7 linked regions of the Mus musculus genome follow. The protein of the gene in region 5 interacts with the protein of the main gene of each other region in a pairwise test. Links are inferred from orthologs where the notes say so. Each region holds a gene or a part of one and is shown on either strand. Other genes may lie near its edges. The genes, in order: Tle5, Atpaf2, Ilf2, Tcea2, Trim27, Trim32 and Bag5.

Region 1 (2,214 bases), on a different chromosome or scaffold from region 5:
ACAGATCCCTGCAAGGCGTCCTCAAACAGGACACAGACATGATAAACCAGCAAACAGAAAAACAAAACAGAAAACAAAGCAGATAAAGAAAACAGGTGGCACACAAGACTAATCCCTGGCCTTGGAAAACAGAGGCTGGAAAATTTCTGTGAGTTTGAGGAATGAGTCCAGGGCATTCAGGGCTATACAGAGAAAACCCTGTTTCAGAAAAACAAGAAAGGAAAAGGTCCCCAAACCGAGGCGCATGCCCAGGGGACAGCCTAGCTTGGGAGGGGTACAGGGAGCATCCAGGCCATCTCCCAGAAGGTAACCAAGGGACCCATGTGGGTACCACAGCCACCCTGCCAAAACAGTGTGAAATCTGAGCACTGAGTTGCACTGTCTGGGCCCAGGTCCCCAGCTCACCCTCTCTGGGTCTTTGGTTGCTCCAGGGATGTCTTATTGCAGGACACGGGGTGCCCTGAGGAAAGGGGTCCCCACCCACAAGACAGAAGCAGGGACACAGTGGCCAACCTTTTCATGTTTTTATTTTGAAGGCACAGCTAGACCCCATCCTCAGTACAGCGGCTTGGCCTTTGACCTCTGGACAGAGACCAAGGCGACCAACAAAGCTAACCCTATGACAGACACTCCTGGGGCTTCCTTCTTTTCCTTTCTGAGATGATAGCTATAGAATACTGGCACAAGAAAGAAATCATAAACAAACCAACTTTTAACCCTCACGTTTATTTGGGGAAGAGGGGAGGGAAGTTTGTGGGGTGCCCACCCCCACTGCAGTCCCGAGCCAATGCTTTCTCTCTGTCCCCTTCTTTTGTGGTTGAGGGAACCGGAGCTGGGGGAGCTGGGGGGAGGGGTCTGGGACTAGCAGGTGTGCAGTGCAGGAAGCAGAGAAGGGGATAGGGGCAGATTCGGGGTGCACAGGGTGGAAAGGGGCAGCTAGCGTTGTGTACATTCTGGGCCGAGATTGGTGGCTGTGGCCCAGGGAAATGTTGAAGGTGGGGAAGAACCCTTAGCCTGGGGTGTCCCTCTGGCGTCCCCTAGGCCCAGGGTGCACAGCCAGAACCAGGACTGGAGGTGTAAGCTTGGGTAGTGACAGAGCTGTGTGCTGTGTGGCCCTTAGAACACTGCGCTCTCTGTGCCTGTCTCCCCTGGTCTCCCCCCTCCCCCTTCCCCAAGAGCTAATCCGACTTCTCTCCGTCATCCTCCTGGTGGGTGTCCCCATCGTGTCCGTTCTTGTCCTCCTTGGAGAGGTGGGTCTGAGAACCCAGAGCAGAGAGTGACAGCAGGCCTGTGCCTGCACTGACTGCAGGGAGGGACGGTGGCTGGAGCCCGACAGGCAGCGGTGTCAGGGGCAGGGCCAGCGCCTGCAGCTGGGACAGCTGGTGAGCCTGGAGCTGCTGCTGTGGGGTGGGGGTGGGGGTGACAGAGTCAGCCCAGGGTCTTGTCACCTGACCCTGGCCACCCAGGTCAAGTCAGTCCCCAGTCCACCAGAGGCTCCGACTTACTCGGATGATGGAGTTCAGCTCAGGAGCCGTGACCTGCTTGGCTCTCTCGATGGCTCCCAGGACCTGCTGCTGATGCTGGAATAGGCAAGGGAGGGGACAGAGTTCTCTCAGGCAAAGCTGGAAAGGGACTGAGGGGCGGGGGCGGGGGAATGGCGACTCCTGTGCAGTAGGCAACCAGTGCAAAAGCGCAAGAGAAGTCCTGTCCTAGGGGCTCAGGGGCTGCTGGGGTGGGAGACTAGGAATCCAACTTCACAGGAATTTCCTTAGAGCTGGGGGGGGGCTCCCATCGCCTGTGCCCGCCCACCCAGGGAGCTCTTTCTGCCTTGCCACAGGGGTCTGAGTGCAGCTGCTCCACGTCTCACCTTTGCTAAGCTCAGAAAGGGCAGGTGCGTGCCCAGGGAGTGCTCAGCAAGGTGCGGAGGGGACCCCACTGCCCCCTGCTGGTGGCTTGCTTACCTCCTGTGACAAATAGGGCAGAACCTGGGCGCAAATCCCATTCAGCCTCTTCACAATTTCCGCCTGGAACACACGATTTTCCCTCAGTACCTGGGGCACTTGGAGGGGTGGGAGGGGGTAACGGGAGTGGCCTTAACGCTCAGTCTGGGAATCACAGGGCATTGAGGACATGGAGGAGGACAGTGAGACTTACCTGTTTGTGCATCTCGATGTTCAATCCGTAGGACATCTCATAGTACTGTGAGGTGGAGAG
Region 2 (3,455 bases), on a different chromosome or scaffold from region 5:
TTGGGGGGCGAGGAGAGTACTGAACAACTCTGAACCCTTTCACATGCATGGGTATGTGTGTGTGTGGTGCTGATGATGGAACCCAGGGCCCAGAGCATACTAGGCTAGCATACTCTAGCATATAGTGAGCCATACCCTTAGCCTGAGCAATCTTTACTGTTCCTTAGTTTGATTTTTTTTTTTACATGTACAAAGTAATAAAATTCAATGAATCTGAATCAGAAAGGGTTAAGGTGGGAACTGAGATCAGAACTTACCTGGTACTCTTCCTCCAGGCGTGACAGAAGCACAGCTTGTTCCACAGTCAGGCGCAAGTCAATCAGGCCCAAAGTCAGCAACATGGATTTGAGCTGGGCCACTACAAACTCAATCCCTAGGGGTAGGGGACACAAGCCCAGTCAGAACTGATAGCCTACTGCCTGTCAGTTTCTATTCCCTCATGGACAGGGGGTAGGAGGCACCATCCTAAGACCCACCTGAGCTTGACACACTCTCCTGACAGAATACTCCTCCTTGTCTTGGGGTAACTCACCTCTGCCTTTTCTTGGATAAGTATATGACCTGAACGGGGCTAATTGGCATATCCCCCAGGCCCCACTCCATGATTGGTTAAAAGATGGCTATATGGGTCTAAACTAATGATACACGAAGTCCAGACTTTTCTTGGAGGCTATGTGACCCTGGAGAACTAAGTAAAGGGGTAGGACATCAAAGCCACCCAGCCTCCATGCTCAAGAGGACTCAAGAGGGATGTGTCACTAGGTACCCAACCCTCTAGGCCCATGAAGCCCAAACTGTACCTTGCAGAGCCCACATGTTGTAAGAGGACAAGTGGCTGGTAAGCACCTCTCGGGTCTGGGTAGGGATGCTGGGTCCCATTATGCTGGTGGAGGAGCCGATCTCCATACCGTACCTATAAGGGGAAGGCATGAGCATGTCTCTGGCACACTGTTCCCCAAAAGCAGTCTAACTTTTAACCAGAAGCAAAAAACCAAACCAAACCAACAGATATGGCGCATGTGCTTTCCTCAGGATGGCAGTGCATGGAGGTGCACACCTATGATCACAGCACTCAGAAGGCTGAGGCAGGATGATCACGGGCAGAAGGCCAGTGTGCCTGGATTATGTGAGACCTTATTTCAAAGAATCAAAACAAACAAACAAATGAAAATAGTCCCTCACAGGATGCCTGGGTCATTGTGAGGACTCAGGAAATGTATAACAAGTGATAAGTTCTGTGAAAATTGTTACAACAGAAGGAAAATCACCTAGGTATTTATTCCACAACCCTGCAGACAAGGCAGAGCCGTGGGGACTACCCCTTCCCATTCCACCTGGAAAGAGCTGACGCTGAATTTATTTTGCTACCTTATCAACATCTGTTCAACTCTGTACTTACTGGAGCCTTGTGTTAAGGAAAGCGTTGAGTACTATCAATCTCTAGAAGCCACACATCCACAAATAGTGTTCACAATGCTGCAGGAAGCTACCCTGACCTCTGTCTATGCACACGTGTATCTTACATAGTCACGTTTACTTAGTAGTGCAGCAATGATAATACAGATAATAATAATGAAAAAGTTTTTTAAAAACCAAAATTTGAGTTGTTACCTCTGCTGAGTTGAGTGCTAAGTGCTTTCTTTGCTGGTTTACCTTCCCCAATTAGCCTTGCAGGCAGGCTGGATTAGTCCATTGCAAGTCAAACAAACCAAGGCTCAGAGACCTGCTGGGGGAGAGAGCTGGGGCCTTTGGTGCTTCTTGGGGACTTAGAGCTGCCCCTGCATTTGTCATGGTATGCCCCAGTAGCAGTTATTTGGGACACAATGACCAAAATGATTTTTTTTTAGTTTATTTATCTCATGTATATGAGTAAACTGTAGCTGACATCAGACAGCACCAGAAGAGGGCATCGGATCCCTTTACAGATGGTTGTGAGCCACCATGTGGTTGCTGGGAACTGAACTCAGGACCTCTGGAAGAGCAGTCAGTGCTCTTAACCGCTGAGCCATCTCTCCAGCCTGACCAAAATGATTTTGAGGAACGTGTTTAACAAGGTAACCCCTACCTCTCAATACCTGAGGGAGCTTAAGCTCAGGAAGGCAGCCTGAGATTGCAGCTGTACTGTGTGGCCCTGACCCCAGCACCCAACCCAATCCTAGGTCTATTCAACGCTCCATGTGGGGCTGCACACCTTACCTTTTCTCAGCCCACTCTATGACGGGATCCCATTCGTTCTTCTGAAGTTCCACTAATGTCTCTGGCTCTTCCACCCTGTAGCTAATTCATTGTAAAAACCACCTTCATTAATAAAAAAGTACAAGTCCTTCATTGAGGGACAGAAAAGGAAAATGCAAAGGGCAAAAGCAAAAACTTTACACCAACAACCCAGCTTCCTAAGTCTTGTCCCATAAAGCCATGGTGCTCAGAGTGTAGCCAAGGGGTAAAGGAACCACTTGGGCCAGTAGCACCAGCTCTAGCCTCCCTTCAGAAGCTCACTACCTGGACACTTTCTTAGATAAATCCCACACTGATGACAAGCAGAACCTCTGGGGTTCTGGTCATGTTCCCACATGCCCTCCAGGGACTTTTACTGTAGCTTGAGTTGCAATCCACTACCTTCCAGTTCCCAAGTACTTGACAGGTCCAAACTAGCCCATGTTAGTGCTACTCAAAAGCAGACCTGCAATAAAAATGGGATCCATACCCACTGGACACAGTGCTGTGCTACAAGTTCAGTGACAGCCCCTGCTCCTGACCAAGGACCAAATGCCTGCTGACCTCAAGAGCCTAGCCACCTCCTGGAGTGGCTCCTTTTCCCAAGGGGATCACCACAGAATCATTTTGATAAAGACACAGAAGGGTCAGTTGATAGGCGCTAACTTGCACAGTCTCATGGATGGGAACCCTAGGGCACCACAGAAAGCTAGTTTGTAAGCAGAGGAGAATGCAGAGAAGCTGAGCTGCTGAGAGCAGAGCAGGAAGCCTTTCCTCCCTACCCAATCCTGGACCTGAAGAGTGGAGGCAGGTAGAACTTGGTCCAACTGCCTTTGTTTATTTGTTGGAACCCTGTATAGTTTTTAAGAAGCCTTCTTTACCAAAGGGAGGCAGAATGAACTCTGTTCCCTGCAAGCCACTGTTCCCTAGCAAAAACAGAGTAGGCTTTCCTACTCCCTTCTTTTCAGAGTACCTATGCTAGCATGCCAAGCAATCCCTGGGGGTGGGGGGTGACTCCAAGCCTCTGAGTAATAGGGCCAGCAGGCCCAGTACTGCGCAATCATTCAGCTGTTTCTCTGATGTTCCTTTACTATCACTCTCCAACAAGCAAATACAGACACAGGGGAGAATTCAGAATTGGGAGAGACTGGCCCCTGATTATTGCCACTTGTAATGACAGGGATGCTAATACATGAACACATTGAGGGCCAGATGTGCTGCTGGGGGTTGGCCAATGGGTC
Region 3 (3,500 bases), on a different chromosome or scaffold from region 5:
TTTATTTCATGTATGTGAATACACCATTGCTGTCTTCAGACACACCAGAAGGCAGCACTGGATCCCATTACAGATGGCTGTGAGACGCCATGTGGCAGCTGGGATTTGAACTCAGGACCTCTGGAAGAGCAGTCAGTGCTCTTAACCGCTGAGCCCGATTTCCTCTATTAGTAAACAACTTAGCATCTCTATTTCTACCCCACAGACTGAAGCTTACTCAACTAGAATGAACACTCTTACCAGTGTAATAAAAGCCTGGACAGAATTTGAATGACTCAGAATAAGAATTCTCGGGTATACACATCTTTTTTTCTTTCTCTTTTTTGGTTTTCTTTTGTTTTCGTTTTTTGAGACAGGGTTTCCCTGTGTAAAGGTAACCTCGATCTCAGATATCTGGCTGCCTCTGCCTTCCACGTGCTGGGACTAAAGGTGTACGTCACTATTACCTTACACATGTACACCAACAACAACAACAAACAAACAGACTGGTATGATGGTGTACACCTTTAATAACAACACTCAGAACATAGAGACAAGCAGATCTCTGCAAGCTGGAAGACAACTAGGGCTACATAGTGAGACCTTGTTTCAAAACAAACAAACAATAAGTAAATAATATATTTGCTATTTTCCTTCCATACATTCACACACAAATAATGACGAAATAAACAAATGAATCTGGGCTTCAATTATTACTAGCCTTAAATCTAATCTCAATGCTTAGGAAAGTGGGCTGGGGTGGCTGGAGAAATGCCTCAGGTTAAGAGTGCTTGTTCCTCTTGTAGAGGACCTGGGTTCAGTTCCCAACATCCATTTGATGGTTCATAATCATCTGTAACTCCAGTTCCAGGAAATCCAAAGCCCTCTTCTAACCTCCATAAGCCCAAGGCCATGCACATGGTATGCATACATATACATATACATATACATATACATATACATATACATATACATATACATATACATATACATATACATATACATACATACATACACCCTTAACAGTAATAGAAATAAATCCATTAAAATCTTTGAAAGAAAGAAAAGAAAAAGAGTGGGCTGAGACTCCTGCTAACCTCTGACCTACACTGACCTGACTGCTATGGCCACTACATATTCAGTAACAAACTCAAAACCTTGAGGAGCCCTGTGCTTTCAGGCATACCATGACAAGCTAGCATGCCCAAGGCCCTGTGCACCATCTCCAACGCAGAAAGATAAGAGATACACTTACATGTTGGCAGGATCTTTAGTATTACCACCAGGTCAGCCACATTGTGTCCTGTAGTCATTGTTCCCTTTTTATATGATCCTACCTGCCGGACTTCTTCAATTTGCTGTTGAAAGGGATTTCAAGTAAGTTTAAGAAAATAAAGGTGTTGAGTCCTCATAGAACCATTTCAGCTGCTTCTAAATACCCAGATTTGGAAGCAGCAATGATAAAATCACATCCCCCAGATAACCACAGAGAGCCCTGGGCATGGCTAGCTGACCAGTGATTTCTCTGTACTTTTCCATTTTAGGCTTTAATTTGGATAACAGACAACTGAAAGATTAACAGGCAAGAGCCAAGTAAATTTCCATACCACCAGAGATACCCTTTCTTAGAATTAAGTCATCAAAAACTCACCACTTCAAATGTTCCTGGGGCCACAATCAAGTTGTCAATCACATTGTTGATTTTTGTCACCAAAGAAAGGATGGAAGCCTGAAAACATCACAAAGCAAAAATACCCTAAGCCAAAAATTACACACAATATATATTTAATGTCATCATCATCACCAGACTCCCCACATACAATAAGAAGGAAGATGAATAATTACACACCCAGAGGAGTTTGGGCTCTGACAGCATTCTTGATGGGAATCAAACCTAAGGGCCTCAAGTGATTACCACTGGCTTATAATCGCAGGCAAGACAGCACTCTCCTTAACCAGAATAGGGTAGAGCGTAACTCGAGGCTTTTGACACAGCCCAAGGAAAGCACATACCTGCTCAGCAGAATTAGGGGCAAGGTCTTGATTCCTCTTCAGCAAGGCTTCACTGAAGGAGGTCTCATCAGGTGCTGGCTTGACCCGGGGAAAAGCCATTTCACACTAGACCAGAAATCAAATCATGTTATTTATCAAAAATAATTCATAGAAGAGGGACTAAAGAGCTGGCTCAGCGGTTTAAGAGCATTGCCTCCTCTTCCAGAGGTCCTGAGTTCAATTCTGAGTAACCACATGGTAGCTCACAACCATCTGTAATGGGATCCGATTCCTTCTTCTGGTGTGTAGATGTATGTGCAGACAGGGCACTGATATACATAAGCTACATACATAAATCTTTTAAAAAAAGGATCTCTGTGAGTTATTTGAGGCTAGCCTGGTCTACGGAGTAAGTTCCAGGACAGCCAGAACTAAGTACAGAAACCCTGTCTTGGGAAGAAAAAAAAAAATTGAGAAAGAAAATACATAAGATTTTTTTTTTTGATACTACAATAGGAAAAGAAAATTGTTATATCCTTGTAATCCCAACCCTTTGAAGAAAGAGACAGGAGAACTAGCAGTTCAAAACCAGCTTCATGAGATCTGGTCTCAAAAATATATAAACAGGACCCAGTGAGATAGCTTGGCAACAAAGGCCTAAGTCATCAATTCTGGGACCCACACAGAAAACTAAATCCTACAAGTTGTCCTCTGATCCATCACCACACACTTGCTGTGGTGTACATGTAGTACTGACTGTAATAAAAAGAACTTCTTAAATATAGAGGGACTAAAGAGATGGCTCAGACTGCTTTTGTAGAGGACCCAGGTTCAATTCCCAGTGCCCACATGGCAGCTCACAGCTCTCTGTAATTTCACTTCCAGAGGATCTAACACCCTCACACAGATTATATATGCATATGTATATAATATATAGTACATATATACATATAGAAAGAGGCAAAACACCAATGTATATAAAAGTATATCATTTTAAAATAATGAAAATAATAATAATAGAGGCTGGAGGGATGACTTAGCAGTTAAAAGCACTGGCTGTTCTTAAAGGGCCCAGGTTCAGTTCCCAGCACCCACATGGGTCTCACAACCACCAGTTAACTACAGTTCCAAGGAATCTAACTCCCTCTTCAGCTTCCTCTGGTACTAGGCATGTGTGTGGTACACATACATGCAGACACACACACATAAATCTTTAGAATTAAAAAAACAAAACAAAAAAAAAACGGGCCAGAGAGATGGCTCAGCAGTTAAGAGCACTGACTGCTCTTCCAGAGAACCTGAGTTTAATTCCCAGCAACCACATGGTGGCTCACAACTATCTGTAATCGGATCTGATGCCCTCTTCTGGTGTGTCTGAAGAGAGCAATGATGTACTCATATATATATATATATTTTTTTTTTTGGTTTTTCGAGACAGGGTTTCTCTGTATAGCCCTGACTGTCCAGGAACTCACTCTGTAAACCAGGCTGGCCTCGAATTCAGAAATCCACCTGCCTCTGCCTCCCAA
Region 4 (4,245 bases), on a different chromosome or scaffold from region 5:
ACCAACCCCACAAGTAAGGACCCCTCAGGATTGAACACACCTTTGATCTGGCTTCTTGTGACATAGCTCCCCTGCTGGTGATCTACTGGATTTTCCTCAGGAAAGAGCCTGTTCTTGAGCAGATCTGTGGGTGGCTCCTGCCACCTACAGGCTGCTGTTGCTCATCATTGGGACCAGTCAGAGCTGGGACTACTCAGTAGGCAGTCCCTTGATGGGGTCAAGTCATCAGCCAAACACAGCATGGCTGAAGGTCCTGTGGTTCTCTTACTGCCTGTCTTGTGGTAGGGTCCTGAAAGCATTAATTCAGTACTCAAACACAGGGTTCCCTTTCCCAGAATTTTTGTTGTTGTTGTTGGGTTTAGCTTAGAGCAAGGGCCCAGCTCTCAGTAAAGGGCAGAATGAGAGGTGGTATGAAACTAGAGAGCTGGGTTCAGCCATCACTGCACCTCTGGAAAAGCTTTGTTGCCTTCAAGAAGTTCCATGCCTTTTTCTTATGGTAAAGATGTCATAACTGATTAAAACGGTCAGCTTAGGTCATTTGTGTATGTCATTTGCACTCTGGCCTCCTGGGTACAAAAAAATTCAGATTGACTTTTAGTACCAGCACACCTGCCACCATGTATAGGACAGAAGAAGAGCAGAGCACCATTCTCCCTTTCCTGGACGTGGTTAGGGTCTTCCTGAGGTAATGCCTCAGTAGCGGATTGCCTCAGTACCCTGCCCTGTTCTCAGTGTAAAATATGAATCGGAGGCTCCTGATCGCAGCCTCTGTCATTGTCACTTCACAGGTTGGGAGACTGAGACGTACAACAATGTGCAGAACTTGGGGTTTATACCGTTAGGTTGACTTCAGAACCTGAATAGTTCTCCCCACTCCCACCCCCCACCCCCGAGACAGGGTTTCTCTGTGTAACCCTGAATGTATTGGAACTAGCTCTGTAGACCAGGCTGACCTTGAACTCACAGGGATCTGCTTGACTCTCTATCTCTCGAGTGCAGGGATTAAAAAGGCATGAGCCTACATTGCTTGGCTAAAGCCTGAATTCTTGCGGAGAAACCGTTTCAGAGTCCCGGCCACCTGCGCAGCGCCAAGAAAGCCCCCAAACTCGGCTTGGTACCAAGTGAAGTGTGTGGAGTGAGCTGAGTGACTCTCGGAAGTGGAGGCGATCTAAGTGCACTAGTGAAGGCGCGACCGGCCGCCAGGGCAAGCTGCTCAGATGGGTTGAATTAAAGACCTGAGCGCAGTAGGGTTGTCCTTCTCCCTCCTCTAGGTCCTCCCTCCCCCTGGCATTCGGTGGGCACGTGGGGCCGTGGTCCGGCGGAGATACCTGCGGAACTACCTTTTCCAGCGGGCAATCAGGCCGCAGGCCGCAGGCCGCGCAGTCGTCTGGGAGTTGTGGTCCCGGGGGCGGGGACTCTTTTTTTTTTTTTTTTTTTTTAATTCTGTCGCACGCGGCCGCCAGGCGGAGGTTTGGACCGCGGATCTAGGCGGCGGCGGCGGCCGAGGTCAGGCCGGGCGGCGCAACCGGCACAACCCGCCGCCACCGAGGTAGTGATGGGCAAGGAGGAAGAGATTGCTCGTATCGCCCGGAGGCTGGACAAAATGGTGACCAGGAAGAACGCGGTGAGGGGCGCGGGCCGCCAGGACCCTGGGGCCCCGCTCCGCGGAGACCGTCTGAGCCTACCCTCGGGCAGAGTGATACCTAGCCCAGTCAGTCGAGACCCCTTGCCCAGGCCCGCCCTCCACCCTGTCCTGGGACTGCCGCTTCGCAATGGACGCCGCGTTGACCGAAAGCTACCCTCTGTTCGTCGCCCAGCGGTGGCCGCGGGCGTCCCTGGCCCAGCCGTTGTCTCCCCTGTCTGCCCCCCACCCTTCAGCACCAGGTTTCTCTTAATAAATTTTTCCCCTGCTTAGTCAGGCCTCAGGCAACAGCAAGTCGGTTTGGGCAGACAGTTGAGCCTGTGGCGTTGAGACCCCTGGCCAGTGTGGGCTTGGCAGTCCAGCCTGCCTTCCGACCATGGTCACCTGCGTAGCCTTTGAGGAGCATCCTTAGGGGATGATGGCACCTGCAATCTTGCCTTCCGTGGGTGGGAAGGGACTTAGGAGGTGGCTTTAAGACTGAGTGACTCTAGAGCATCCGCAGCACCGCTCTGAGGGCAGCCCAGATAGTGGCTGAGTCATGAGTCTGTACAGCCTCCCCAGGACTGTGCTTGAAGTAGAAGGCTGCAGGACAGCTTTTGGGGATGAGCAGGATTGCTCTAGGGGTTGGAGGGCTGGGGTCTAAAACAGGAAGTAGGTTAAGTGCCCACATAAGCCTTTACACTGGAAACAGAACCCACTTTGCAATCATCTGGGCTACAGAGGCCCTGCTGGAGCTTCTTTCCGGTAAGAGAAAGCACAAATGACAAACTTGGAACTAAGGGTGGCAGAGATAGGATGGGAATCCAAAGGGAGACCCAGTAAGGATGGAAGGCCACAGATAGGACTGTACAGTTGAGAAGGGAACCTGCAGAGGTTCCAGTAGTCCTTGAGAGAGGCTCCTTGGAACAGCTGATGGTTTATCTGGGTTTTCATTATGGGAGTGCAGGGCTATTGTGGATGCATGCCCCTGGCTCCAAGGATCAGGTCTTCTTAGCAAAGTCAGCCACCTCAGGGCTGATTGGTGTACAGCTTACTAACTTAGGGCCATGAAACAAGGCTGCAGCCTGAGCAGATAAGTCACACAGATTGAAGGGTCAGCCCCAGCCCCTACCACGGCTGGATGGGTTGGTTTTCTCTGCCTCTTTGTGGCATATAAAGACAAATGAGCTCATAGTGGAAACTTGGAGGACAGCAAACACAATAGTGTTGGGTGTTAGAAGAAAAGGCTGTCTCAGTTGTAGGAAGGAGGTGTTTGAATATAACCTGGAAGTGGTAAAGAGAAGAGCAGCCTTAAGCAGAGTGAGGTTTAAGGTAGGAACCAGAGGAGCCTGCCTACCCTTGAGGTTCAAAGAACAGAGCTTAGGCAGAGGAAGAAAATCAGGGTTTTCTGTTACAGTACCTAGGAGGAGGGTGGTGACCAGTCTGGAAAAGAGATAAAAAGTGAGACTATGGGATTTGTAGGTGCTGGCTTTAAGAAAAACTTCCCTTTGTATATTTAATTTTATTTATTTTACATTTGTTATCTCGGTGAGTGTGTAAGTATGAGGACAACCCCTGGAAATTGGTTATCTCCTCCCACCATTTGGGCTCTGGAGATTGAACTTAGGTTGTACAGCTTGTTGGCACCTTTATCTGCTGAGTCAACTCACCTGCCCACCCCTTTGATAGTGGGTATTGAACCCAGGGCCTTAACTTACCAAGTGAGAGCTTTATCACAGCTGTGTCTACACAGCCCTCTCTTTACTTTGTTTTAAGACAAGGTCTCATTAAGATGCCCATGCTAATCTTGAATTCACTCTGAAACTCAGGTAAGCTTTGAACTTTTGATCCTCTTGCCCCAGCCTCCTAAGTATCTCTGAGATGATAAGGCCTGTGTCACCAGGTTTGGTAGTTTTCAATTAGCAATAATTGTGCCTCTGATAAACCTTGTTGGCTATGGTGCTGTTACTTTGCAAATCTGTGGCTGGAGTAGAGATTCCTGAGAGTTTAGGTAGAGGCTTTTAAGGTAGGAACAGGAAGAGCCTGCCTACTCTGGAGGTGCAGCCTGCCTGTAGATGCTGGGGAAAAGCCAGGGCAGAGGAAGGCAGCCAGGGTTGTCTGTTACAGTACCCAGGAGTAGTGCTGCCCTGATGGGTAGGCGCTTTGAGGAGAGGCTGCTCTCCCACCACAGCACAGATGGACCAAGGTTAAAGAACCCGTGCTATACCCGTGAATGTCCTTCCGTGTTGAGCAGGAGTTGGGGCATTTATTTTCTCTAGTAGTTTGTTCAGTGTCCTCCTGTGGTTAGTTACCATGATGTCTGGAGATCACCGTAGATGCAGGATGAGAAACCCCCTGATCTTTGAGGAGAGCACTGTTGAGCTGTTTGCCTCTATTCCTGCCCTATGGCAGGAGCAGTAAAAAGCCCCTGTTGTGATGTAGGAACAGGTATGGAGTGCTCTGGGAATCTCAGGGTAGAGGAGTGGCTTCTTTCTGACATGTAAGTTGCCCCCTGGTGATGACAAAGAGGTAGGATTGTCCACTATGCCCCCTGACAAGTGTTTTCTGTGTAATCCTGGCCATTCTGGAACTCCTGGCCTCACTCTGTAGGCCAGGCTGGCCTT
Region 5 (2,646 bases):
AACCCATCAATCCCACTCATAGGGCAGATGATCAAAGGAGCTGCGCTCTTCCCTCCCGAGTAGCTTAGGCTGAAGTAGGGCCGGACTGGCCCACAGAAGGTAGCGTGAGAGAAAGTAAAGGTATGGCATCTCTCTGTCACATTGTAGAAGGAAACCTCACCAGCATCATAGTCCAAGAAAATCCCTACTCTCTGGAGAGGGGTCCGCAGGGGTAGTGCAGTCATTGGGGATGTAAGAGCCCAATATTCTTTCCCATACCACAATGACACTGCCCAGAATCCATTCTGGGGGGCTGAGGTCACCCCACCTTTTCTGCACACCGAGTCTTCACAGACACCTATGGTCCACTTGGCTTTATCTCCCACCTCTACCTCCCAGTAATGTCTCCCAGCGATGAAACATGGAGAGCCCAAGACACAGGGAAACAGATTGAATCGCTCAGGGTTGTCTGGAAGATCCTGCTGGAGGTAACTGTACCGTACTTGCCGAAGATTATCAGAAAGAATCAGACTGGGATAGGCTGTGTCTGGGTCCAGGGTTACATCAACTGTAGAAACAAAGGGGGGGGGGTGTCATCTGAGGGCCAGAAGAGCCCACTCAAGACTACCTGGTATTTCACTGACTTCCCCAGAACACTGTAGGAGATGCCCACCAGAGGCTGTACTCATTATATATCAGACACACGGTGAACTGATTATGTAAAAAAATTCTCTTGGAACTAAGCATGGTGGCACACGTGGAGACTGAGGCAGAAGTTATCTTCAGGAGTTCCAGACCAGCCCATGTTGCATGGTCAGTGTTACATAGTAAGACCCTGACTCAGAACCTAAAAATTTACGGTTAGATTAGCTGATTGCCTCTGTATGGATAACAATGAAAGTAATACAATTTTACTTCCCACTCCTTTTCTCACATCTAAGGCTCAACCTCCTTCGGAGATTTCATTTAAAGCTTCTTTACATATGTCTAATTTCTGAATTTGAAAACTTTGGTGGCCAATAGTTTTAGCTAAAGTTTAATATTACCACCTTTCAAATCATTCTTGTATTTGTTCTGAGAATTTGCCTTGAACATCCACTCTTTTAAGTTTTTCCCTTTATCTTTTTTGAAACAGAAATCTATGTGGATTAACTAAGTAGCAAAAAAATGGCCTTAAACTCCTGATGTCCCTGCCTCATGTTCCCAACTACTGGGCTTCTGGCTGTATGATATCTGTGTATATGCAACTAAAGGATTCAAACTTGAGGCTGTCTCAAAGCACTTATAATAGTGGTCAGGCTCATAGGGCTTTTAATCCTTTCTTCAACATGGTTTGTCTTCAGGTACCTACCTGAGTATAACTGAGCCTCTCTCAACTCTGAAAGACAAGAGAGAAAAGAAGTTACTGAACCTGTGTGTCTTTCTAGGAAACATGTTAAGTGAAAAAACAAAAAACAAAAAACAAACCATAAAGCAGTGGAACCCACTAGCATTGCAGAACGCCTGTGTCAATTGGGTACTGATTTTCATTTGATGTTATGACTCCATATCTGCTTATCTGCCCAGGAATTTTTTTTTCTCTTTTAGAAAGACAGTCTTACTATGTAACTCAGGCTGACCTGAAACTCACTGTATGGCCAGGCTGGCTTCAAACTCATGGCAGTCACTGCTGATGAGCTGTGAGGTACTAGGTTTACAGGCATGCACCACTATGCTTTGCACATGCAAGGATTTTTAGGGTTAGGGGTTTGGGAACCTTGGCTATACAGATAACATGTATGAACTTTGTAAAACATGGTATCACACTGAGCCAAGATCAAGAATTCCACCCTCCAGAGAGCCACTGGATTCTGCAAAGGCAAAGTTCAAATGCATGACATATAATATATATAACTCTTAACTTGTACGAACCATCTTTGCTGTAGAGGCTGGGTGGCTCAAATGACACCCACTGCCATCATTAATTTATGTGGGGTTTCTAGCTGGCCAAGGATTTCACACAAGTCTTTGAAGTGGCAAAGGAAGAGGAAGAGAAAGAAGAATCAGATCAAGGAAAGCCACTTCTGGTTACTAGCCACCGAACTAAACGTAGCTGTGGATATGGCGCCACACCTGTAACCCCAGAGGCAGAAGGTCTGAGGCAGGAGACCGGTGAGTAATAGGCTAGACTGGGCTACACATTATGACTGTCTCAACCAAACCCAAACTAAAGCAACGGTGTCAGGTAGGGAAGCACATGAATAACGTGTGCGTGTGTGTGCGTGTGCGATCACAAATGTCATTACACACGTGGATTCTGTTCTTTCCTTATACCTTTGTATAGGTTCCAAGTAGCAGACTCAGGTCGACAGGTTTGCCCAGTAAGTGACTGCACTTACTGAGCTATCTTGTTGACACCCCCTGGACTGTCTATATACTCGCTTCTTTCCAAGAAACTTAAAATGTCAAGAGCTCAGGAAATAGGTAAATTTACCTTGGATCTTCTCCATATCTGACTGCATCTTTTCTAAAAACAAAAAAAGAAGAGATTCGGTTTATATGACTCTTAACTGGTTAGAAAATCCATCCTCAGATGACAATGATAACAACACACTCAGAATATAAACCCACTCTCTTCCTCATATTACCTGTGAACTGTTTTAGACTTTCTGTCAAAAACAGACATTT
Region 6 (4,109 bases), on a different chromosome or scaffold from region 5:
TTTACCTTATAGTCAGAAGATTGTTAGGCCAGAGTCATAGGTTGTTAATAAATGGCCATTAAGAGAACTAAAGCTAGCCCAAGATAAATTGACTATGTGTCTACAATATGTTTTATCCTTTCCCAGTTCTAGGTATTTGGTCAGTCCATAGAATTGCCAGCACAGATATAATTTCTTCAAGGAACTTTGAGTCACATATTCTCTGGGAAAGCCTTGGGAGTTCTGGGTGCCTGGGTTGGCTCAGGGCTCTAGAATTATCTGAGATATCAAATTGTACTCAGAATGTATAATCAGGAAATCCGGCCAGGGATAAAATCATGTGAGAACTCCTGAATCACTGAGAAGAGAAACAAGTTGGAGAATGAATAGCCTGGTTCAGAGTTCCATCAAAATCGATGCCAGGTGTATACCGAACCTTGGACAAGATGTGTGGGACAGGGGCGGGAGTGAGGTGGGGGAAGGGGATAAATTTACTTTTCCCACCTTTCTGAGTTATTAGTAACTCATCAAAACAATCCTTAACTTTATTTTGAGATAAAGAAGTAGAAAAATGAAGTTAAGAGTGATTCTGGGAAATTAAAGCCAGGTTCTGACAGGTAGAAACTGGTTACTTTGCCTTTTAACCCCTAGGTCTCAGCTTCTTTTCAAAGTCTGTAGTCTGTCGGAAAGTGTCTAAAGGTATTACTGTTTTTGTTTTGTTGTCTTATCATTGTGCAGAGGGTACACAGCTAGGTGGAATTTCAAATATGAGAGCATAATATTTCAGATTCCTTCATATTCCTCACTAGTACTGTGTGTTTATCGCATTCAGGAGCAGGTATTACCTGTCCACAAACTACCTTCAGGACCAGGAGGTCCTGGCCACAAAACCTCCCGTCTGACAAGGCTCAATGCAGGCTTTTCCCTGTTTCTCCCTCTGCTATCCGCCTCTGCGCTGTTTGGCAAAGAAAACGTCTTTCCTAAGGGGCATGTGTTCAGTGACTCCACTTTGGGATGTGTCACAGGCAGAAACACCTAGCCCGGGGACCTGCAGCTCTTTGAAGGGAGTGTGCTTGTCTTCTTCAAAGAGGCGTCTGTCTGCAAAGTGCCCGAACTTTCTGGAGACTACTACTGGGGGATTAGCATTGACTAACCATGTTTAGACTCTGAAACGGGGCAGAAAGCTGCAATGGCCTAGGTTTCCGGAGCCATCCCTATCTATTCAGCTGGGCCGCGGGCGCTGAGCCCACAGACCTACAAGCCCCAGCATGCCTCGGGAGGCGGGGCAAGTTGACGGGCAGGCGACTGTACGAATTGGCGACTGCCATGGGAAGGACGTGCTAGCGCATGCGCAGAAGGCAGCGGGCGGGTGGGCTGGCAGCGGTGGACTCGCGTCGGAGCTGCGGGCGGTCAGGTAGGGGGCGGGAAGGAGGGTCTGCGACCAGGGACTGTGGTGGGTCGCGGGGATCCAAGATTGAATGGCAGGATTTGGGGACTGGATCGGAGTGGCAGGATCGGATTCGGAAGGGACGGGCTCAGGAGCGATTCGGCGGAGATGAGATGCAGCTGGGGGAGGGGAGCAAAGGGGCTGAGGAAATTTGCAGTTGCAGCATGTCGGGAGGTATGAGGTAATGTGGGGGCCATGCGGAGAGACGGGGTGCAGCATGTGGGAGATGGGAGGATCTGACGTCCCTGGAGGTATCTGGGTGCAGAATATCAGAAAGCATAAAGGAATTTGGCAGGCCTGGATGAGGTTGGGTGTTGGCGGGCAGAATCTTAGGGGCTTTGAGGAGATCGGTGTAATGATAGCAAGATCTGAGATCAAAACAGCCAAGGTCTTGGAAGATCCTAATTGCTGAAGAGAAAGGGATTTCTGTAGCGGAATCTGGGAAAGACTGAGGGGTGAGTTCCCGAGGGAATCAGTACCCAGTTAGAAAATCGCAGCAAAGGTTTGAAGGCAACACGTGAGGCAGGACGGGGGCGGAGGTGGGGGGCGGGGGTTGGAGGTGGCCCAGTACAAGATGGGGATGATGGGCAGATGAGCGATCAGATTGAAGGAGGGCAGAAATCTGAGGTACAGGATTGGAGTTTGGAGATGGCATACAGGGGTGATAGATGTGGGAATTTGAAAATAGATTAAAGGATGTATTGGAGGGATGAGGGACACATAAGAGCTATTGGTGAATTGCAAGGCTGCAGCATACAGTCTAAAAGGTTGAATGATAGATTTGGGATTTAGCGTTGAGAATGAGGTTTGTGGAGAATGAATGGTGGGGAGTGAATGCTGTAACTAGATTATAGAATTCAAAACCAAATGAAATTTGTGAGTAGGTTCTTAGGAGGTTTTTGTTTGTTTTTGTTTTTGTTTTGGTCTTGGCATAACTGAACCCAGAGGGTCTTCTGGAGACCCAGGGACCTGAAAGTAATTTATAAATAAACTATGTATAAATGAATGGAATTTAGGAGAATGTAAGGGTTTGGGAATAAAGACACCAGTCTTCAGAAATCCTGAAGGAGAGTTTGACATTCTTTGAAGGGCAGATTCTTCCTCACTTACTAACTAAAGGCCCTTTAATCCTGAGGCAGGCATGTATTCTGACTATACCCACTCTGACCACCCCCACCTCCTCATCACAGACCCGATATTATAGGCCTTGGGGAAGAAGCAGTGAACTACCTAAGGGCTTCTGCTACCTAGCCTTTTCCCTGTCCAAGGTATGAGCCAAAATGATCTTCAACCTAATATTATCTTATAGGAGGTCCATTATAGCTCACAGAGACAATGGTTCTGGGTGAGAAACAAAACAAGGTTGGAACAAGGCGGAGCCTCCTGTCTACTGAGTATTTAGCCTGTGCCATTACCTAAAGCCAGGGTTCTCAGACAGGGTGCTTTTGTTCTGCCAGGAAACATTTGACCGTGTCTGGATGGAGGCATTGTCAGTTGTCATAGTTGAGGGGTTGTGTGTGTGTGGGGGGGGGGATACTTGGGGGGGGGGATACTGGTTTCTAGTGAACAACCCCTACAATAAACTATCATTTAGCTAGAAATGGCAGTCATGCCAAAATGGGTCCTGGCATCAGAGTCAAGAATGCTCTGGTTAGATCCTGGCATTATTTATTTATTTATTTGTTTATTTATTTATTTATTTATTTTTCTCTTTCTGCTTTGTAACCTTTAAAGAGTCAATTGACCTCTCAGTGCACAAGCTCTTCAGGGACCTACGTCATAGAATGGCTGTGAGGACTCAGTGTACTAAATCAGGGTGCTTACTGTTTGGTGCCCAGTAAAAGTGCTCAGAATTTACTACTTTTGAAAATATGTGTGCTTTCTTCTCATGATATTCCTTCTAAATATACATTCACTGTTCAGTGTTACCCACGAAACTAAGGCTTAGGAGGTCACTTGTCTAAAGCCACATTCCTGCCATGTAGCTCCCCGCCACATCCTCTCTTCCATTGCTGGTTTGCTGCGGTCGGCTTGGTCTTCCCTTTGCAGCCTCTCCTAAGGAAAGGGAGGCTTGCCCCGTAGTCAGAAGCTGGGTGACTTCTCTTGATTAAGAGAAGCCCTGGACTTTGTTCTTGCTTTGCTCTTAGACCAGAGCCAATGGGGAGATAGTGCAAGGAGCTTGGAGCTACACGGCTGAGATAAGGAGGGCTCAGGCTCAAGGGCAGTGCTAGACGGAAGGAAACTGCTCTGAATGTTCTCCTTTGTGCATCTTGTCTCTGGCACAGAAGGGCAGCATTGTCTTTATCAACTCCAATCCTAGCTACGCTACAGAAGGCAGTTTAGAGAACAAAATTAGACTGGAGCTGAGGGCAGAACACTTAGCTGCGATGACATCAACTCAGATCGCTTAGGAAAACACCTGACGGAGGTTGAGTTGGCCGTGGAATCGGCTGTTTTACTGCTTGCTTGGTGGTCAAGCACTTGCCAGCCTCTGTCTGAAAACACAGCGAGCTCGGCTGAGTGCTGATTAATGTGCATTCTCTCCATAAGGCCCACAATCTAAATGTTACTCCTGATTCTACAAGGCAGAAAGTGAAGAGCCACTTGTTAAATGACATATCCTGGGTTACAGAGCAAGTGGCTAATTTGGGCATATAAATCAGAAGTCACATGCTGGCAAGCC
Region 7 (4,128 bases), on a different chromosome or scaffold from region 5:
GCAGCTCTGTCTTGGCCCTCAGGTACAACTCAGGAGGGCTCTGCGCCTGGAGAAGTTCATTTTTTATCTCTCTCATCCTCTTGAGAACATTTTCTATTTTTATAATGGAATGGTTCTGTCCCAGGTCAAATGCATGTGTACTGTCAGCTTCCTCTTCTAAGTCTAGGTATTTCAGTAATTTGTTGATATCTTCCACCACCTCCCTCCGATAATTTCTGATCTCTGTACGCCCACACACATCTAGAGCATCTAAGTCAGCAATCAGTCCTGACAGCACGCAGGATAAGTGCCTGCAAGTCTCGGAACTGTCCACGCCCATCAGAAGTGCGATCAGCGTCCCTCTGGCCTTGTTCACCTCGCACATGACAGAGTTGATTTTGGCCACTGAAGGATGCACATCCTCAGACAGTGGCAGGGACGGCTGCTTCTTCATACAGTCCTCAATAACCTCCTGTACCGCGCAGATCTTGGTGAGCGTGCGGTACCTGGCTTTCCGCAAGGAGACCTTCCCTCCGGTCTTCACGTGCGTCAGCCTCAGAATGATGTCCTGGATGCCTTCCTCAAACTCGTCAGTCACACAGTTGCCTCCGCTGTAAAAGGGCACAATCTTGTCTTTCACAAGGGCCTGAGCCTCCTTAAAGATATTCTGGATTTCGATGCGGTGTGGGTGGTTGGCATTCTGCTCCAACTCCTTGAGGAGACGTTCTGTCTCCTGTGCCGCCCGCTTCCTAGCTTGCTGGATATCTCCTTTTCCTTCCGTATCCACAGAGTCAATTTCAAAAAGTTGTTTGGTCAGAATCCTCTCCAGCCTCTTGTAGTTCTTGTCATCCGACAGGCCGCTGAAGCCGACCACTTGCGGCTCTATAGCCTTTACTTCCCGCTGGATCTCCTGAAGCCTACTAATGGAGGGGTGTTGGTTTCCCATATCCATACTTCTGTGTTCAGTTTCACAAGCACTGAAAGATAGCAAGAATGATAACGTATTAGTCTCTGCAGGACAAGAACCCACTCTAAACACTCCTTCTTAGTACACTTGTTAAAAGGGCTCATTCGGGCTGTGGAGATAATTTTTCATCAAGTGTCCAAGCTGGAATTCCAGAACACATGTGGAAAAAAAAAAGCTGGGGCGGAGCTGGAGAGAGGGCTCAGTGGTTAAAGGTGCTGGCTAGAGGACCTGGGTTTGATTACCAGCACTCACATGACAGTGCATGACCACACAGGTAACCCCAGTCCCAGGGCATCTGATTCCCTTTCTGTCTTCAGAGGCACCAGGCACACAGTGATGCACAGACATCCATGCAGGCGAAGCGCCAACGCCCATGAAGTAAAACAGAAAAGCCAGGCAAGCCAGTGCCGGGGAGACGGCGATAGATGGATCTCGTGATTCACTGGCCAGCCCAGGTTAGCCTAACCGAGGACCTTCAGGACCATGGGAAGCCCCACTTCAAAAGCCAAAGTCAAAGGACACCAAGGAAATGATGGTGGGCGGGCAGGGAGGCCAAACTCTGGCACCTGGGCATGCACCAAAATACACAAAAGGTTTCGTCAAAGGTGTAAAAGGTTGCTTGAGGAAAGGGAAGATGTGACATGTCAACTCCCTCTCCTGAAAACAGCTGGACAGGAACAAAACAAAGCAAGCTCACCGGTGTGCTGGTGTATCCCTACAATCCTAGCGTCGGGGATACAGAGGAAAGGGAACTACGAATTCAAGATCACCATGGGCTACTTGGTGACCCTAAGAATTCAAAGCAAAACGGAAATAGGGGAACACGGTAGGGATTTGAACGACAGACAGAAGGTCCTCATGATCCAGCCTGGGTGGATGTCTAGGCCTATGAATTCTGTCTTAAACCATGAGAGCGAGCTGCGTACACTGCCATTCTAGTCAACCCACCAGGTTAGCAACACAATTTCCTTAGATCCCCCCCCCCCCCATCCTAATCTACTCTCTGGAACCAGTTTGGAAGTTAACAGTAGCTCTTCCACACTCACAGGAGCACCATTCGTCCAGACAGCTAGCTAACTTTCTACTTTTCTGAAAGAGGAGCTACGAAACTTCCAAATCCTCACCCTGACTTCAAATACCCGCCGCCCAAACCTGCCGACTGCGATTAACTCGGTCACTCGCCTCCCGGTATGTGCGCTTAGAGCATTTCCCACGCTCTCAGGTTTCTGTCAAACAGCTCACTTCTGGCGGGCAGGCCACAGAACTCAGTCCCCGGGAGGGTCCAAGCCCGGCCCTCGCAGAGCTTTTACCCCGGGAGGTCTGGGCGGCGGCGGTCTTGGCTGCCGCGGGGGGCTGCGAGGTGGGAGATCGGCCCTTCACGGGGAGCGGCACCGCAGCGGTGCCCCCAGCGGCATCCCCCCTCGCCCTTCCCGGCTAGGTCTGACCCGGGCAGCCGGTGAAGGGGCCGGCGGAGGCGGCGGCAGCTACTGGCCGCGGCGGCCGCTCCCGGGTCTCGGCCCGGCCGGACGCGCCGCCGCCTGACCTCACAATGGGCGCGCGGCGGGCGCGGGCCTGCGCAGCGAGGGCGGCGGAGCGCCCGAGGCCGGGAGAACGGAGCTCGCGCCCTCGCCCCACGCTCACCTGGGCCGCACGCGCCATCGCGCCCCGCCACCTACACTTCCGCAGCGTTGTCGCCGTCCTCGCAGAGCGGGCCCGTCAGCAGTGAGCCCGGGGAAAACTTGTCCTCTCCTCGTCCCGCGCGGGCCCCGCCGCCCGGCGTCCGTCCCAGGGAATGCGCACGGTCGGCCTCGCCGCGCGTCGGCTCGGGCTTTGCGACGCCGCCGTAACGCCAACCTTTCCACTGTCGCGATCCTGCCGTACGCGCGGGCCATGGCGGCTTTGCGGCCCGGAAGCAGAGCGCTTCGCCGGCTTCTCTGCCGGTCCTTCTCCGGCGGCGGCGGCGTTAGGTTGGCCCGTGAGCGCCCTACGGATCACAGGGATGCGGCGTCCAGCCGGGTAAGCGGGACGCCGGGGGCGCTGGCAGGGAGGAAGGCCGCCGAGCAAACCCACGCCGCCTGCACCTCTCCGACGGACTGATGATCACTGCCCGGGATCCGCTGTGGAGAGCGCGAGCCTTGCTTATCCCCGAGTTAATTCCCATTTGTATTAACACAGCTCTTGAAGGGTGTTCTTTCTCATTTTCGCATCGTTAAGATTAGTGTTCGACTTAAAGCCGTGGCTGACTTCATCATCCCACTTCTGTAGACTTCGCATTGTTTGTAAACGTGCACGCGATGTCAGAGATCCACAGTGCAGGTCTGCAGCAAGAATGGGCGTGAAGCCTTTTTCAAAAAAACAATTGCTGGGCTGGAGAGATGGTTCAGCTGTTAGGAACACCGAAGACAGTAACAATGCACTCACATATATAAAACTAAATAAAGCTTTTTTTTTTTAGTCAGTTGCACTTCTTTTTTTTTTTTTTTTAAGATTTATTTATTTATTATATGTAAGTACACTGTAGCTGCCTTCAGACACTCCAGAAAAGGGAGTTCACATCTCGTTACGGATGGCTGTGAACTACCATGTGGTTGCTGGGATTTGAACTCTGGACCTTCCAAAGAGCAGTCAGGTGCCCTTACCCACTGAGCCATCTCACCAGCCCTCAGTTGCACTTCTTTGCAACAGAATGCTTTGCTTAAGGAAGGCCTAGGTTGCCAGGCGTGGTGGCCCACGCCTTAATCCCAGCACTCGGGAGGCAGAGGCAGGCAGATTTCTGAGTTTGAGGCTAGCCTGGTCTACAGAGTGAGTTCCAGGACAGGGCTACACAGAGAAACCCTGTCTCGGGAAAAAAAAAAAAAGGCCTAGGTTTAGAGTCTATCAGTCATATGAAAACGCTAAGGCTGGAGGTAAAACATTAATCAGTGGCTACTAACACTTCAATGACCACTAAGCTAGTGATAGAGACTAGAGAGCTTGGTTTAAGCAATAATGAAGAGAGGGAAGGAGGGATGAGGAGAGAGAAGAGAGATGGAGAAAATTAAGAATTGCAAAATGTGCTTGCTGTGAAAATTTTCATCTCTGCTATGCTGTGTCTCCTTGCACACTTTTAGCTTTGAAGTTCTGACTACTCCAGTTTAGATTTGTTGCCTTAGGACCCTGGCCTCTGGCTCAGTTTCCTGGCA

Evidence for each region.
Region 1: the proteins of Trim27 (region 5) and Tle5 interact in binary tests that used the Homo sapiens proteins (3 or more experiments, as listed by UniProt). The two-hybrid records come from large-scale screens. The link is inferred for Mus musculus from reciprocal best matches to the Homo sapiens genes TRIM27 and TLE5.
Region 2: the proteins of Trim27 (region 5) and Atpaf2 interact in binary tests that used the Homo sapiens proteins (3 or more experiments, as listed by UniProt). The two-hybrid records come from large-scale screens. The link is inferred for Mus musculus from reciprocal best matches to the Homo sapiens genes TRIM27 and ATPAF2.
Region 3: the proteins of Trim27 (region 5) and Ilf2 interact in binary tests that used the Homo sapiens proteins (3 or more experiments, as listed by UniProt). The two-hybrid records come from large-scale screens. The link is inferred for Mus musculus from reciprocal best matches to the Homo sapiens genes TRIM27 and ILF2.
Region 4: the proteins of Trim27 (region 5) and Tcea2 interact in binary tests that used the Homo sapiens proteins (3 or more experiments, as listed by UniProt). The two-hybrid records come from large-scale screens. The link is inferred for Mus musculus from reciprocal best matches to the Homo sapiens genes TRIM27 and TCEA2.
Region 6: the proteins of Trim27 (region 5) and Trim32 interact in a two-hybrid assay, tested with the Homo sapiens proteins (2 studies listed by BioGRID and IntAct). The link is inferred for Mus musculus from reciprocal best matches to the Homo sapiens genes TRIM27 and TRIM32.
Region 7: the proteins of Trim27 (region 5) and Bag5 interact in binary tests that used the Homo sapiens proteins (3 or more experiments, as listed by UniProt). The two-hybrid records come from large-scale screens. The link is inferred for Mus musculus from reciprocal best matches to the Homo sapiens genes TRIM27 and BAG5.

What each region holds. Positions count from the first base shown.
Region 1 is NC_000076.6:81,564,658-81,566,871, reverse strand, and holds the end of Tle5 (TLE family member 5), read right to left. Parts: intron 2,200-2,214; coding exon 2,155-2,199; intron 2,060-2,154; exon of another isoform or gene 2,025-2,059; coding exon 1,962-2,024; intron 1,581-1,961; coding exon 1,506-1,580; intron 1,401-1,505; coding exon 1,179-1,400; 3' UTR 501-1,178; downstream 1-500. UniProt on the Homo sapiens protein: Transcriptional corepressor. Acts as a dominant repressor towards other family members. Inhibits NF-kappa-B-regulated gene expression. May be required for the initiation and maintenance of the differentiated state.
Region 2 is NC_000077.6:60,403,580-60,407,034, forward strand, and holds part of Atpaf2 (ATP synthase mitochondrial F1 complex assembly factor 2), read right to left. Parts: intron 2,299-3,455; exon of another isoform or gene 2,278-2,298; coding exon 2,197-2,277; intron 914-2,196; coding exon 801-913; intron 374-800; coding exon 258-373; intron 1-257. UniProt on the Homo sapiens protein: Plays a role in the assembly of the F1 component of the mitochondrial ATP synthase (ATPase).
Region 3 is NC_000069.6:90,479,201-90,482,700, reverse strand, and holds part of Ilf2 (interleukin enhancer-binding factor 2), read right to left. Parts: intron 2,098-3,500; coding exon 1,993-2,097; intron 1,709-1,992; coding exon 1,631-1,708; intron 1,338-1,630; coding exon 1,235-1,337; intron 1-1,234. UniProt on the Homo sapiens protein: Chromatin-interacting protein that forms a stable heterodimer with interleukin enhancer-binding factor 3/ILF3 and plays a role in several biological processes including transcription, innate immunity or cell growth.
Region 4 is NC_000068.7:181,678,852-181,683,096, forward strand, and holds the start of Tcea2 (transcription elongation factor A protein 2), read left to right. Parts: upstream 1-1,445; 5' UTR 1,446-1,555; coding exon 1,556-1,624; exon of another isoform or gene 1,625-2,386; intron 2,387-4,245. UniProt on the Homo sapiens protein: Necessary for efficient RNA polymerase II transcription elongation past template-encoded arresting sites.
Region 5 is NC_000079.6:21,189,931-21,192,576, reverse strand, and holds part of Trim27 (zinc finger protein RFP), read right to left. Parts: coding exon 2,607-2,646; intron 2,486-2,606; coding exon 2,453-2,485; intron 1,985-2,452; exon of another isoform or gene 1,891-1,984; intron 1,358-1,890; coding exon 1,331-1,357; intron 548-1,330; coding exon 1-547. UniProt on the Homo sapiens protein: E3 ubiquitin-protein ligase that mediates ubiquitination of various substrates and thereby plays a role in diffent processes including proliferation, innate immunity, apoptosis, immune response or autophagy.
Region 6 is NC_000070.6:65,603,677-65,607,785, forward strand, and holds the start of Trim32 (E3 ubiquitin-protein ligase TRIM32), read left to right. Parts: upstream 1-1,309; 5' UTR 1,310-1,393; exon of another isoform or gene 1,394-1,607; intron 1,608-1,639; exon of another isoform or gene 1,640-1,881; intron 1,882-4,109. UniProt on the Homo sapiens protein: E3 ubiquitin ligase that plays a role in various biological processes including neural stem cell differentiation, innate immunity, inflammatory resonse and autophagy.
Region 7 is NC_000078.6:111,710,457-111,714,584, forward strand, and holds the start of Bag5 (BAG family molecular chaperone regulator 5), read right to left. Parts: upstream 2,801-4,128; 5' UTR 2,588-2,800; exon of another isoform or gene 2,071-2,587; intron 957-2,070; 5' UTR 932-956; coding exon 1-931. Other genes in the region: Coa8 (cytochrome c oxidase assembly factor 8), read left to right, coding at 2,837-2,962. UniProt on the Homo sapiens protein: Co-chaperone for HSP/HSP70 proteins. It functions as a nucleotide-exchange factor promoting the release of ADP from HSP70, thereby activating HSP70-mediated protein refolding.